Oryzias latipes: one gene and its partner. The protein of the gene in region 2 purifies or fractionates together with the protein of the main gene of each other region. This does not show direct contact. Links are inferred from orthologs where the notes say so. Each region holds a gene or a part of one and is shown on either strand. Other genes may lie near its edges.

Region 1 (7,373 bases), on a different chromosome or scaffold from region 2:
TGGAGCATAAATTGTTCTGTGAAGACTAGATCACCACGTCTCCAAGCTGATGTTGCAACTTAAAAGAAAAACACATCTCAGATCTTTATTTCTGTTATAGCTTCGTTTTTTTTTTTATATTTAAAGTTCAACAGTGACGGCAAATGAACAAAAAACATGGTAATGTTGACGTCTTTGTCCCTGCAGGAAGAAGTTGTCCAATTTTTCTCACAGCAGCAACTGGAAGTCGGCTTCCAACTATGTGGCAAAGCGTTACATGCAGGAGGTGGACAGAGACGTTTACTTTGAGGACGTCAGGCTGCAAATGGAGGCCAAACTCTGGGGAGAGGAGTACAATCGACACAGACCTCCCAAACAGGTGGAGGAGAAATGTTCCCACTCATTTACGAGGGCAAAATCAACTTCAAATTGCTGCTTTTTGGTAATGTTGTAGTGTGAAATATTAGAAAAGGGATCTTTTTTTATCCGGGCTGGGGACCGGCACAGGGAGACCCAGACTTGGGCCCCCTTGTGGCTACAGAGTTAGGCAGTAGTGCGATGGGACCTTTCCAAGGACCCAGACTGGATGAGGCTCATCACGCCCCTGGGAATAGATCTTTAAAAAAAAAAAAAATAAATAACGTTTGTGCTGTAAATCCTGTAGAACAGGTCAAGTCATTTGACGTTTTTCTTTGCCGGGAAGACAAGGTCAAAAAGATCATGAATTATGATCAACATAATTGCATGTAACTTTTTGCTGTTTTTCATCATTTTTGAGCTGTGGAATGTAAAGACTGTGAAGAAAATGTTCTTTTTTAGGAACCGCTTAAACCTGAATCAGTCAGTTTTTTTGTTCATAATCAGACTAAAGATCAGAGATTTCAGCTTTTATTATTCAAAACGAATGTGCCAACCTTTTTAGCAAACACAACCCACAGATTCTGTGCCTTTTTATTTATTATGCGTTTGTATTTTTTTAGGTTGACATCATGCAGATGTGTGTGGTGGAGATGACAAACAGACCCGGCAAACCTCTGTTCCACCTAGAGCATTACATCGAGGGCAAGTACATTAAATACAACTCCAACTCTGGCTTTGTCAGGGACGACAACATCCGACTCACTCCACAGGTGAGCGGCTGTCTCCTGGTACATTTGAACTCAGATGACATTGCTTTAAAAAGAAATGTCCTTTTTTTCCGTCTTGCAGGCTTTCAGTCACTTCACCTTTGAGCGCTCGGGCCACCAGCTGATCGTGGTGGACATCCAGGGAGTGGGAGATTTGTACACGGACCCCCAGATCCACACGGAGAAGGGGACTGACTTCGGAGATGGGAATCTAGGTATCCGTTTGTTTGGGAAAACTGCTGTTGAACTATAGTGGGCCAGGAAGATGGGATCTGAGAAGACCTGTGTTCCAGGTGTGCGGGGCATGGCTCTGTTCTTCCACTCCCACATGTGCAACAAGATCTGCAAGAGCATGGGCCTGACGCCGTTCGACCTTTCCCCGGAAGAAATGTCCCAGCTGGACGGCACCAACAAACTTCTTGTAATTCAAAACGTTTTAAAACTCAGTGCAAGAACAGTGGGTTGTGTTCTGAGGTTTGTTAATTCTCTTTCTCTTTATTTTTTGGTTTTAAGAAAAGCGCACAGACGGTGCTGAGGGGCTGCGAGGAGCAGTGCGGCTCGCCCCGAGTTCGGACCTGGTCTGCCAGCCGGGCGCCGCCGCTCTTCTCTCGCCTGTCCGAGACGTCATCTGCAGACGAGAGCATGAGCGACGCCGAGTCCATCCCCTGTTCACCTCTTAATCCCCCCTTCACAGCAGTCGGATCTCTGGGTGAGTCACTCTATGTGATTTAGCGTTAGCACATCCAGCTGAGAATAAATGTTTGAATCCTTAATGCATTTTCCAGGCTTATCTTTTACTGGAATGAATGAACATGAACGATTCAGCAATAACAACCAAGGGGAACACAAGGTGAGTTCTAACTGACCTGCAGAGATTTTTAGCTGGTTTTAAAAAAAGAAAAAAATACTCTAAAAAGCACAAAATTCACAAACAGCACAGAACTAAAGGAGGCACAAAATGAAATGAATTTCCTGGAAGTACAAACCACCAGCAGAAAATTATGTTTAATCTCACAGAAAATAAACTAATTATCTGCCCTCATGTCAGATTAAGAAGTGTTTTTGTTGGTCAGGCCTCGATTTGTAAAAGGCGACTTAATGCAGTTTATGATTTTTGTTTAATATTAGTAATGATGTTTGATTCTAATTGTTTTTGTCTAAGTACTGGAGCTCAGTAATGGTTTCATGTGCGTTTAGATAGCAGTTTTGTGAGAGCAAACCAAAATATTAAGGTTTATCCCATGCAAGTTTTTCACTGCATTCCGTAAGAATAAGTAGTACACTTAAAGTTGATTTTATTAAGTATCACAGCCCCATTCACTCATGCACACATATTCAAACACTGACTTCATGCTGGTGCAAACCTTAAACCGTCAGGAATAATGTTGTTGTCCTGCCAAAGGACACTTCAACACACATGTTGCAGGAACTGAACCATCAATCTTCTGATGGGAGGTTGACCGCTTTACATTTTTACCATAGCAAGTATACTATAGATCATGTGCTTGTAGTGTAGAAAAAAATACTTACTGAAAAAATACTAACTGAATACAGAATAAATTGGCACATTTTAAATTTACAAATGAAATATAAAAACTAAACTTTAAGAATACTGCCTCACTTTTAGTATTGACTAAGTATACTTGTAGTACATGTAATAGACTACTTTTTGCTGAGGGATCCTGCAATCTGTTCCTTGATGCAATATTCTAATGATAGTTGCTGTGACAGGTTGGGTTCACGGTCTCTTATTTGCATTGTTTTTCCTACTCAAACAAAGGGGTTATGGCAGTTCAACCCGTGTCGAGCTCACAGAGATCCATTTGTTTACACTCCTCCAACAAGCAGTTTGCTCTTCTTGCACAACACGTACAGGCCCCCTGCTAATCTGCTGAAATGCGGTCATCACATGAGGCCAGCACAACAATGTGTGCGTTCACGAGTGCTGCAGACAAAGCTCTCAGCCAGCAGCACGGTTTGTGTAACACTTTGTTCACACAAAACAAATCTGCTGTCTGCTGTGACTTTTATCTCTTTCTGAGTCACAAAACTACCGCAAAAATGTTATCTGGTGGGGGCTTTAACCTACTTTTGTGGGTGTCTTTCTGTCTTATAATTTTCCTGTCAAAGCATAAAGCTGTTATTTGAGGCGCGTTTTGAACGTAAAGGGAAAAAAAACACTGAATATCAGTTGCAAACTACATCGTTCTTTTTCATGTGACCTTCATGTAGTAACATATCTGAATAAATTGTAAACACTGCCACCAAGTGGCGGAAGATGGCAACAACAGGTGCCTCTTTGTGTATGAGTTTGTTGCCAAGAATCCAACAGGAGAAAACAATTAGGTTAATAATAATTAGGTTTTATGTTTGATTTTTTTTTTTTACAAGTTCTCAGTTGTTATTTCATTTTTTGTTTTGTCAGGAATCAGAAAGCGGTGGAGACAGCGGCTACCCTAGTGAGAGGAGGAGCGAACCAGACTCCAGCGACCACATGGATGGGGTAAACATCTATGCATCCTTTTTTTTTAATTACAGCTGAACCAATCCTGGGGTTTTACTGGCTGAACCTCAAAAATGCACTGAAATTCTTTTTTTTTATGGTAGAATTTGTTTTTATCAAGACATTTGAAAAGCCTAAATGTATATTTAAAGCTAATTTTTTTTAATTAATTTAGAAAGTTTACTTAAACTTGTAGAAATACTCCACATGATCAAAATATATTGTGTCAGGCTAACTTTTCTTCACTTTTTGAAGTTTTTAGACTCTTTTCCAGGTTCTTAACTCATACCAGCTTTAAGGGCAGGACGTTTTTTGTGATGCATGTCATATATTGTCATAGGTGCACCAGCGCTACCACAGACCTTACTCAGAGTCGGATGAGGACAGTATCAGACGGGTAAACAAGTTTTTAGATCTTTCCTCCCTCTTCGGCCATAATCATCAATCACCTTTCTATCGTTCCTTTTTTCCTCATCACCTCCTCAAGCCTTTTTTTCTTCTAACTTAGTTCCCCATTTTTTTTCATTTTCTCCTCACCAGAAGAAGATGGTAGCTCCTCCAAGAGTCTCTGCAAACTTTAACTCATGCAGTCCCATCTATGAAGCGGTGATTATTTGCACGGAGGCTTTTAAAAGTAGTTGCTTTGGAAGCAGCTCTGTGCCATTTTGCTCCTCTCAAGCTCTATGTTTGCTGGAAAATCCATTAAGATGTACACTATTTTTTTGATTTGCTGCTGCTTCCTTGTCAGCTTTTGTCAATCTGTAGCTTGTAAAAAACATATTCAAATTTTCAGAGAAACCAAAATATATTTGGAGCTGAAACAGCATCTACCTCAAATTGAGCAAATTTTCCATTTTTAATGACAGGTACCAGCTTTGTGTGTTTTTTGTGCGTCATGCTGCTTACAACTTCATGTCACATGATTGAAGTGTTGTGTCATCTCTCTGTTAAAGCTCCAGCTGGATGGGTGTGCCCCAGAGTGGGATGTAATTATCTGATGACTAAAAAGGGTGATTACTTTTTAAAAAAAAATCTTCTTCCATCTTTTCTCCCATCTGTTTTCACTCCAGCTGACAGATGAGAAATGGAGCTTCTTCCATTCGTCTCGCTCTCATGTCCACCGCCCTTCCTGTGTGGCGACAGAAGTGGAGCGCCTCAACACTCTGCTGCAGAAAAAGATTGGACAGTCAAATCTGGGAAAGGTAGGAGCCTGAAAAAAATCAATTAGCTCTGATGGAAATACTACTGCAAAAAAAAAAACAAATATATGATAAAAGACGAAGCATTTTTTTCTATTTTTATCTCAAATAAAGTTATATACAGTCATTAGAGCATCTTGAGATGTTTTCCTTCAAACAAAATGAACTTTTTGTTGCAAAACAAATCCAAAAGATCCATCGAAATGCTCAAATTTTCTAGAAATTTCAAGTAAAAATGGATTGTTGGGGTTAAAAATCTGTATTGTAAAGCATTCATCGAATAATAGTTCATGTTTTCCATTTATGCATTATTTAAACAGCATGGTTCAAACAAATGTTATTTTTTTATTACTATTTTAATGAGGTTGCCTAGCAACTACTTTAGTTAAACGACACAACAGTAAGTTAAGGCTATGCCATCATCTGTAGTGGAAAAAATAAATGTAAAACGCATTAAGCAGATCAGAATTAATAGCATAAAGTGCAAACAACAGCATGTAAATTAGAAATACAAAAATCGTAAAAGAAAGAAAACTAAATACTAAAAATGTAAATATGGGAAATGTTTTTTCAAGTGGAGGCAAATGTCTAAAGACGCACACATCTACAGCAAACTCACCAAACAGAACACCTTGTAATAAAATCAACAAATGTACCTATTAATATAGAAACAGATGAAAGTAGAATTCCTCAAATTTAAAGATTAATAACACAAACTGATTCTTATTCTTTATATAAATATTTTTTATAAATGATACAAAGACGTTTGAGGGGAGAAAAACAAATTTAAAACCCAGCTGTTAAAATCGGCGTTTTGTTAAAATTGTTCAGAAAGTCTTGTGTCAAATCCTGATTGAAAGTGTTTTTGACCTTTTACTACTTTGACCTCTCAGGTCCATCTGGCCATGGTCCGGTACCACGAAGCGGGGCGCTTCTGCGAGAAGGACGAGCAGTGGGATGAGAGCTCCGCCATGTTCCACCTGGAGAGAGCGGCGCTGTGTGGGGAGCTGGAGGCCATCGTAGCCTTAGGACAGTGTTACCTCCGGTTACCGCATCACATACTGCCTGACATGGAGTTGGAGGTAAGCTGAATTTTACCGCTGGGCCTCCTGTTAGGGGTTACAGCTCTGACAGGTTTGGTTTGTTGGCAGGACAACGCTGGGAACCGGATGAAAGGTTTCAAATATCTGCTGCAGGCCGCTGAAGCTGGAGACAGATCCTCCATGATCATAGTGGCCAGAGCCTTTGATAGTGGAATCAATCTGTCGGCTGACAGGTCAGTTTGGATTTATGCTCAGAACTCAAGAAAAAGAGTCCTGCGAAGCTGCGGACACACCGGGAATGTAAACAAGAGAACATATTTAGCTCGTTCTTGAACACGCGCCTGGCTCATAGTGTTCATACTGAGCTAGCAGGGAGGGGCTTCCTTTTTTTTCCTTCCTTTTTCTGTGTTTACTAAAGCATGTTTATTCCAATGCATGAAAGATTCAATTCCAGTCAGACACTAACCACAACTATTATTTTTCCTCCATGATCAATTTTGAAACAAATTAAAAGGGATGCCATCCACACGTCACTTCCAAACCTGAGTCTCTGATTGGTCAAAGTTCAACCTGGTTTAACTTGCAATGTGCGTTCAATGGCCGCGTGTTTTGACCTGAAATGGTTCTAGCTACGGAAGCCCGAAATGCACGTTTACATCGACTTTTCAGTGGAAGCAGACACGTGTGAATGTAGCTTTACAGAAGTGGTGAAACACTGCCCTCTGTTGGGGTTGTAGAGTTTTTATGATTAATGATTTTTATACTTTCACACTTTTTTTTTTTTGTAATAAGTTATTTTTGTTTTTTCCTGCAGAAAACAAGACTGGGCTGAAGCAATTCACTGGTACGACAGTGCGCTGAACATGTCGGACTTTGACGAAGGCGGGGAGTTCGACGGCACGCAGGATGAGCCGCGATACCTGCTGCTGGCCAGAGAAGCGGAAATGTACCAGAAGGGGGGCCACAACCTGGCTGCAGACCCTCAGAGAGCAGGTCTGAGCCCAGACTGTTAAGGGAGAATATCAAAAACTCTAGAGAGACTTTGATATTTCCAATCTGAAGGGAACAGAATAAACGTTATTACAACCCTGCTACTGTGTGAATGCAAAGCTTCATATGTACAGACTTCCACTCATAGCTATGGTCATTTAGTCAGTCTTGTGACCTGCGTCTGTAACATTTTCCCTCCCTTTGTGTCTCTGCAGGTGACCTGTTCACAGAGGCTGCAGAAGCCGCCATGGCGGCCATGAAAGGTCGCCTGGCCAACCAGTACTACATGAAAGCTGAAGAGGCCTGGGCAGAAGTTGAGGAGTAACTAAAGAGGTGGCAATATTTTCTGTTTGACTTTTTGTCGCTTATTTTTTAATTAATTTAGCTTAACGCTTGAATGATTTTGGATAATATAAATTTTATGGCAGAATTTTTGCTGTTGCCGGTTTGGGTGTGTGAGTGAGTGCTAAGCCGCTGATGATCATTCTTGTTTTGTTTTTTTTTATCTCTTCAAATGTGAAAGTAATCATCC
Region 2 (7,373 bases):
CTGCGAGCATGCTGCGGGCGAAAGGTCGTAGAAAACACTTACGCAACATGTAAGGGTGATGTGGGTGAGACGCAGACATGTCATGTGGATTTCTCATTTTTTTCAATCCCCCCAACCCTGCACACGGTGCGTGGACCAGTGCTCCTTGTGTGGAACTGATGAGCTGATAGGGAGCACGTGAGCAGATCGTCAACCTGTAGGTGTGGGAGGTGAAGAGGATCCTGACAGAGCTGTGAATTGCTCTGCAGCTTAAACCATGCAAGCACACTTTCAACAGAAGCCATAGTTGCTACCGTGCACAACTTTTGCAACAAATGCTGAGGCCACCAGGGTTTCTTTGTTCAGAAGCCAACAACAAGAATAACTTGACAAATGTGTTCTTTCAAAACAGAGAAATGTTTTCTTTTGGCTTTAAAATAGGCTCTTACAGATATGTGTTTATATTTAGTCTCAAGTACCGTAGCTACCACAATCCGAGCTATGTTGTCAGGATTTAAGGTGCAACACAACTGAACCCCAAGGAGCAAAGATTAAAAGGAAAGAACGAGTTTATTTTCAGATGTTTAGTTGTGGACTGCTCTGGAGCCGTGCAGGAACTTGAGGCCAGAGAGACAGCCATCTATGTCTGGGATTTCTCAGATTATCTAATGAACACCAACTTGAGAAACTATACTAAGGTGGTAGGAAGGAGGAAAATGAGAGGTTGGAGAAGACAGAGGGGAGATCTGGCACGGGGCTTGAAGCGAGTGAAAGGATAGAGTCCAATGTGAAGATCTAGTTCAGGAGAGGGGAGACAGGGGGAATCCATAGGCTGGTCCAAGGCCTCAATCCAGAACAGCTCACAGCTGATGCAGAGGTACAGATGGGGTAAACCAAAATGTGGTCAGACACTAAACTGGTTCCAAAAACCACAAGAACAAGGCATTTTACACAGGCTTGTGTATTGACTTAACATGAGAAATGGACCAAGTGAGTGTGACATCACCCATAGAAAACAGCTTATCTCCTGCTCCAAAGTAGTGAAGTCTATCGAATTACAGTTGCTTTTTTTTGCCATGTTGGAGCCAGACATCGTTAGTAAGATGTCTGTCTCAGCCATTGATTCCATGGCAACAACTCTCACCAATCAGGAGTGAGCTTGTTGGAAAGCCGCACCCCTACCACTTGACAGCGAGTAAATCTGTCAATCAAATATTTAACCAAATGAACTATCCGGCGCGTGAACTGTGTGATGTCCTACCAGAAAAAATTAAGACTGCTGGGTTACTTACCACTCGCAGCCAACCCCGTAGGTCGGTTTTCCTAAAACAGAGAGCAAGACAGTGTATTGATTTTCATTTGTTGTTGTTGTTGTTTTTTTGTTTGTTTTTTTTGCATTCTATGTTTGTTTGTTGAGTATTTACATGATGACATAAAAAAAACAAAGTTTGCCTTCCAAAAGCTAGAGCACAGGACATCAAGCTATAACTGTTTTGTTAGCTCAGATACCTAACAGTTATTCCCTCAGTTATTACTGAGGTAATATCGGAGGTAACAGTTATTACCTCAGATAATAACAGATCTTTTGATCTGTTATTAAAGAGTTCCCAGTGGTCTTTTAATTATTATTAATCCAAAATCAAAAAACCTTGTGTTGTTTTCTAGGACTTAGTTTCTGCAGAGCAGCAGTAGTTTATTAGAAATGTATTCAAGCAGGGAGCTTGTGGTTTACCGTAGTTGCTTCTGCTTCACACCTAAAAGCTTTTTCTAACAGCTCACTTTTTTCCTCTGCTCCTGATTCATAACATTTTGAATAAAGGCATAATCAGAAATGCAATTTTAAGCTTGATTTTCTTTATCCATGTCCACCATCATTGGAAAAAATACAACAAGAACATGTTAAAAACACCAAAGATGCTTTATTTTTGGTGTTTTGTTTTGTATGTGCAGCGAGGGAGCAGCTGAGACGATCCAGACACAGCAGGACCTTCCTGGTGGAAAGCGGCACTGGAGAGCTGTGGTCCGAGCTGCAGACCGGTGAGTTCAGAGAGTTCCAACGGATCTTTCAAGCTTCAGATGGAGATGAATTTGACCTGTTGACTGTTTGGGCCACACACGTCTGCCTAGGGTGAAAAAGGGGGCAACTACAAAAGACTGCCGCCGCATTTCATCCAGATTCAGTCACCGTTGACATTCCTGAAAGATCTGCTGTTGGTTTGGAAGATCTTTTAGAATATAATATTGAAAAATGTTGCGTACTTGCAGAATATGTTGCACCACCACAACATTATTCTAACTACATACAAAAATGCAGACATAAAATCTTTCAATTTCCTGTGAAATGACAGCAGTGAATTATGTGAAAAACCCTGGTACAAAGGTAAAAAGGTGAAAGGAGCCCCCACCTCTGGACTCTATACCTATACAACTGATGGATTAAACGAAAGTCTAGTTTAATTTATTGTTTTTGCACATTTAAAACACAAGCAAGACAATGATTGAAAGGCAATAAAGTGATGGGAGAGGCAAAAAATACCAAAAGGCCTCCACCTAGTGTAAAATTCAATTCAATTCAATTCAATTTTATTTGTATAGCCCAAAATCACAACAACAGTCGTCTCGATGGGCTTCGAAGTAAAACATGAAATCAAAAGGATCACGAATACAAAGAGTTCAATAGAAAAATACTAAAATGAACTAACAAACTGACTAAGCTATACTGACATCCCTGCCCTTAGACCCCCCTTCGCGGTAAGGAAAAACTCCCAAAAAAACCGGATTCCGGAAAAAACGAAGAAACCTCAGGGGTGCCCACATGAAGGAGGGATCCTCCCCCAGGACGGACAGGCGATTTACCAGAAATCTTAGAGAAGAATTAACTTATCTAAATCTACAACTACATATATAAAAGTCCAGCAGACGAGCTTCATCCAGCCGTGGTTATCGGGACAGTCAAAGGCGCGAGTCGAGCCGGAGACAGGAACCACAGCCAGGTGTAGGAGCAGGAGCAGAGACGAGGTACTCGGTCAGGTACAGAGCAGAGACGAGCCAGAGATGAGCCAGAGGCAGGATCCACAGCCAGGTGTAGGAGCAGGAGCAAAGGCGAGGTAAACGGTCAGGAACTGGAGCACGGATGAGCCAACTGGAGTCTGGAAGCACTCCCACTCCCCAGGAGGGGAGAGGAAAAGAGGGACAATACATGAATCGCACTGCACCAAACAGAGGCATGGAGAACTAAATGATAAATTATGATCAAGAATAGAGGAGAGGAAGGGTAGAAGTAAAAAAGGAAAGAGGACAGAACCCCAGTGCACCATAGTTACCCCAGCTTCAACTTCTAGCAGCCTTTTAAAAGAAATAGTTATTATTAAGTTTAATTTAAACAAACTAACGCAGGAAAAAAAAAAAAACTATTGATAAGTATCAAGTATTAAAATAAAAGTTCAATCTGAATATTTAGGATGTCAAAGGTACATATTAAAAAATCGATCTAGTTCTGGGAGGGGAGTAACAGCAGTATAGGTAGAAAAGCAAAGATACCAATGAGATCACGTTGGTAAAAAAGGTCCAAATTGATCGAGACGTAGTCAAAGCTTTCTTCCTGTTGTGCTCGCCTTTGCCTTTTTATATACCAGTACATCTGCTGCAAACAAACAGACGTCACAAACCAGCTTCCACCACATCAGGTTAATTACAATTGGCTAAAGGTGATCCACAGCGAAAAAAGACTTTCTCTGTTAAACAGCATTTTCATTTATAATCTTAAATGTCAAATGAAAAATAAAAATATTGGTAAAAAAGAATCAGACTATGGTACTTTGGACCACAAAGTTAGTTGGATGATTCACGTTTTGATTCGTGGACCATTGTTGTTGTTGTTCACCTTTTAGCATCTCCCTCCACTGAATATTCATTGGACCAATTTGGATTAATTTTTTTAAAAGCCATGCAAGTGCAAGTCACTTTTTTTTGATGATTTTTAATTTTCACTTTTTTTCACAATATGGGGAAAAAAATCTTTTGTTTGAGTGATCTTCATGAAATTTCATACAAATCCTGCTGGCTTAAGTCTACAACTATGGCTGAAGTTTTGTTGACCTTTGACCTTAGGAAGATGGATCCCCCAAAAAAATGTACCTTTAGCACCTTCTACAAATGAAAATCCTCCTAGGAGTTTTGTTCTATCACCTCATCACTACTGATCCATCATTGGGAAGCTACATGGAAGAAGAAAAAAAACGTTGATAATAAAGTTTGTAGATTTTGAACGGCACGCTTGCAAAGGTTGGCGTTTCCCTGTTGCTCGTACATTTTTTACCAGAATATTGTGAAAGTGCAAAACATAGGATATGACATAGGATATGAACTGTGGGTGTGGTTAACAAAACACCTCAGTTGCCAAGGAAACCAAAAAATTAACTTTTGTAAGTTCTTTTAAAAATGACATAGACTTGTCCAAAAATGAAATGGTTGCTTGGAGACAGAATAGAAAAGCAGCCAAAATGTTTTTTTTCATGCATTTGTCACGTGCAGCTCTGATTTAGGGTGAAAGAGGCAGCGGGGGTAAGGACCGGTGGCCCCTGAGGAACACATGTTGCTCCGACTTTAATGTTTGCCGTTTTCATGCGATTCAACACATTTCAGCAGAAATCCCTTCATTTAAGCACAAGTTTAACAAGCTTGTTTTTGCTTCTTTTCTTGTGCAGGTGACAAGTATGTCGTTGCCGACTGTGGAGGAGGAACCGTGGACCTGACAGTCCATCAGATCGAGCAGCCGCAGGGGACGCTCAAAGAACTATACAAGGCTTCGGGTGCGACGCCTTTTCTAAGAAAGGATCTTTATTTTGTTTCTTTATTTTTTCAAACACAAATGAAAAAATCAACATGGTGGTTTTAGAGACATAAGACCATACAGTGTGTTTGGAAAGAAGTGGGTTGAAAAGGAATCTTGGATGATCGCACCCCTTTTCACAACACCCGATGATGTGCATAATTCAATTTACAGATATGTACAAAACGTTCATGGTACAATTTTTGCATGGCAATTGTGCAAAGTTACATTTTTTGTACAGTTTTTGTTTTTTAATCGTTTCTGGCCTTATATTGGTGATCTTTTGTAGGTTATTTTGAATATTTGTAAACCTTCATCCAATTCGTTCCATAAATCCACACCACAATTTGATAAACACATTTTCTTTTCTGTAGTGCGAATGCTCTGCTTTTTGAAATTCAGTTGTTTTCTTAGGTTTCTTAGATTTCTTAGATCTCCTTCAGCTTCCAATGCTGGGTTTGTTTGACCTCCAGGCGGCCCGTATGGAGCTGTTGGCGTGGATCTGGCCTTTGAAAACATGCTGTGCCAGATCTTTGGGGAGGACTTCATCCAGAGCTTCAAGGCGAAGCGGCCGGCGGCCTGGGTGGACCTCACCATCGCTTTTGAGGCGAGAAAACGGACGGCGTCGCCCGGCCGAGCCAACGCCCTCAACATCTCCCTGCCTTTCTCCTTCATCGACTTCTACAAGAGGCAAAGGGGCCAGAGCGTGGAGGCAGCGCTGAGGAGGAGCAAGTGAGTGGGAGGAGCATCATCTGGGTGTGACAGTGACCCCACCCCTGCTCACTGTGTTTGTGTGTTAGTATGAACATTGTGAAGTGGTCGTCCCAGGGGATGCTGCGGCTCACTCAGGAAGCCATGAACGAACTTTTCCAGCCGACCATCAACAACATAGTCAAACACATAGGTGAGAAACAGACGCAACACATGCACACACAAGACACAGGTGTTTACCTTTAGGGGAAGTGTTCTTCATTTACCCTGCTCAGCTTCGTTTTAAAGACCCCCTTTGATCGTTCTTTTAACTATACTAAAAGTGTTCTCAGTGGTCTTTGAATATGATTTTGCCATTTTTAAACAACACATTTTTTAAACCTGTCATTTTGGACATTGTTTCTGCAGAGCAACAAACGTTTATTAGAATTCCATCTCTGAGTTGTGGGCGAGACCAGTGACACAGGGCAACCCCCACCCCTTTTCCCCTCTCTGTTGCTGGGAACTTGTGGCCCACCCAGATGAAAAAAAAAGCTATTTTTCAATCTGCTCCTGATTCTCAAGAATTGCAACACAGAAACACTCAGAAGTTGAATTTTTAATTTATTTTATCTTTATAATTGTCCTCCGTCATCAGAAAAATACCAGAAGAACATATTAGACACCTAAAACACAATTTTCCTCTGTCTTTAAATTTAAAGGAAAGGTATAATTTCTGACAATTTTACCTTTTTTTCCCTAAGATTTATTACTTTAATCTTGGGTTTCTGACATTGTGACTTTTTCTTATTAAAAAAACAACAACTTTAATCCCACAATTTAGCCATCAGATCCTAAATTTTAGAGATACATCTCAGAATTTTTCCTTTTTTCTTTTAGATTTCTGACTTTGATCTTGAAAATCTACATTGAATTTTAGAATGTGGTTTATCTCATGTATTTGTGATCTTTAACTGGGACATTTTTAAAAAGAATGTCTAACCTAAATCCAAGAATTATCACATTGATCTTAAAGCTATGATTAAAATTCCAAGATGTTCGACTTCAATCTTACAAATTTTCATTTTCTTTTCTTTTCTACTCTTTATTCGTAATTGTACTTTTTCTATGGTTTTTGAAGCTAAACTACTAATTTTGCCTTTTTTCCACATTTGATTTAAAGAGTTTTTTTTTTATCTTAGAGCGAAATTAATCCCACAATTTACTACTTTGGTTTAACATTTTGAGTTATATCTCAGACATTTGGTCGAAATAGTTTAAATTTTGATCCAAGAATTCTGACTTAAATGTTAGAATTTAGATTTTTTTCTAATTTGCCAAAATTAAGATACCATTTTTCCATTAAAAAAATATTAAACTCATAGCTTTTTCCATTTTTACTTTCATCTCTGAGTTCTCACTTTAATCTCTAAAATTTCCAGGATTCAATCAGAATGTTTGATTTTTTAGGTTAAATTTTTGCCCTGGACTGCACGGTGGGGCAGTGGTTAGCGCTCTTGCCTCACAGCAAAAAGGCCCCTGGTTCAAGTCCCTGCAACAGAACATCAGTGGGGGACCTTTCTGTGTGGAGTTTGCATGTTCTCCCTGTGCATGTGTGGGTTTTCTACGGGGTCTCCGGGTTCCTCCCACTTTCCAAAAACATGCTTCATAAGTCAATTGGCAACTCTAAATTGTCCCTAGGTGTGAGAGTGAATGTGTGTGTGATTGTGGCCCTGTGACAGACTGGTGAACAGTCCAGGGTGTCCCCTGCCTTTGCCCACAAGTGACTGGGATAGGCTCCAGCAGCCCTGTGACCCTGAAAGGGACAAAACAGTAGAAATTTTCACCCTAATCTTAGATTAACAGGAAAGGG

Evidence for each region. The genes of interacting proteins can lie anywhere in the genome.
Region 1: the proteins of hspa12b (region 2) and eef2k purify together in Homo sapiens (affinity purification with mass spectrometry; 3 studies listed by BioGRID and IntAct, with this or other methods). This does not show direct contact. The link is inferred for Oryzias latipes from reciprocal best matches to the Homo sapiens genes HSPA12B and EEF2K.

Annotation. Positions count from the first base shown.
Region 1 is NC_019877.2:13,148,168-13,155,540, reverse strand, and holds part of eef2k (eukaryotic elongation factor 2 kinase), read left to right. Parts: intron 1-186; coding exon 187-358; intron 359-959; coding exon 960-1,109; intron 1,110-1,188; coding exon 1,189-1,321; intron 1,322-1,399; coding exon 1,400-1,527; intron 1,528-1,619; coding exon 1,620-1,815; intron 1,816-1,891; coding exon 1,892-1,956; intron 1,957-3,531; coding exon 3,532-3,609; intron 3,610-3,949; coding exon 3,950-4,006; intron 4,007-4,149; coding exon 4,150-4,215; intron 4,216-4,679; coding exon 4,680-4,811; intron 4,812-5,701; coding exon 5,702-5,890; intron 5,891-5,959; coding exon 5,960-6,084; intron 6,085-6,665; coding exon 6,666-6,844; intron 6,845-7,056; coding exon 7,057-7,166; 3' UTR 7,167-7,373. UniProt on the Homo sapiens protein: Threonine kinase that regulates protein synthesis by controlling the rate of peptide chain elongation.
Region 2 is NC_019876.2:13,101,150-13,108,522, reverse strand, and holds part of hspa12b (heat shock 70 kDa protein 12B), read left to right. Parts: intron 1-1,929; coding exon 1,930-2,016; intron 2,017-4,685; coding exon 4,686-4,790; intron 4,791-5,283; coding exon 5,284-5,542; intron 5,543-5,610; coding exon 5,611-5,714; intron 5,715-7,373.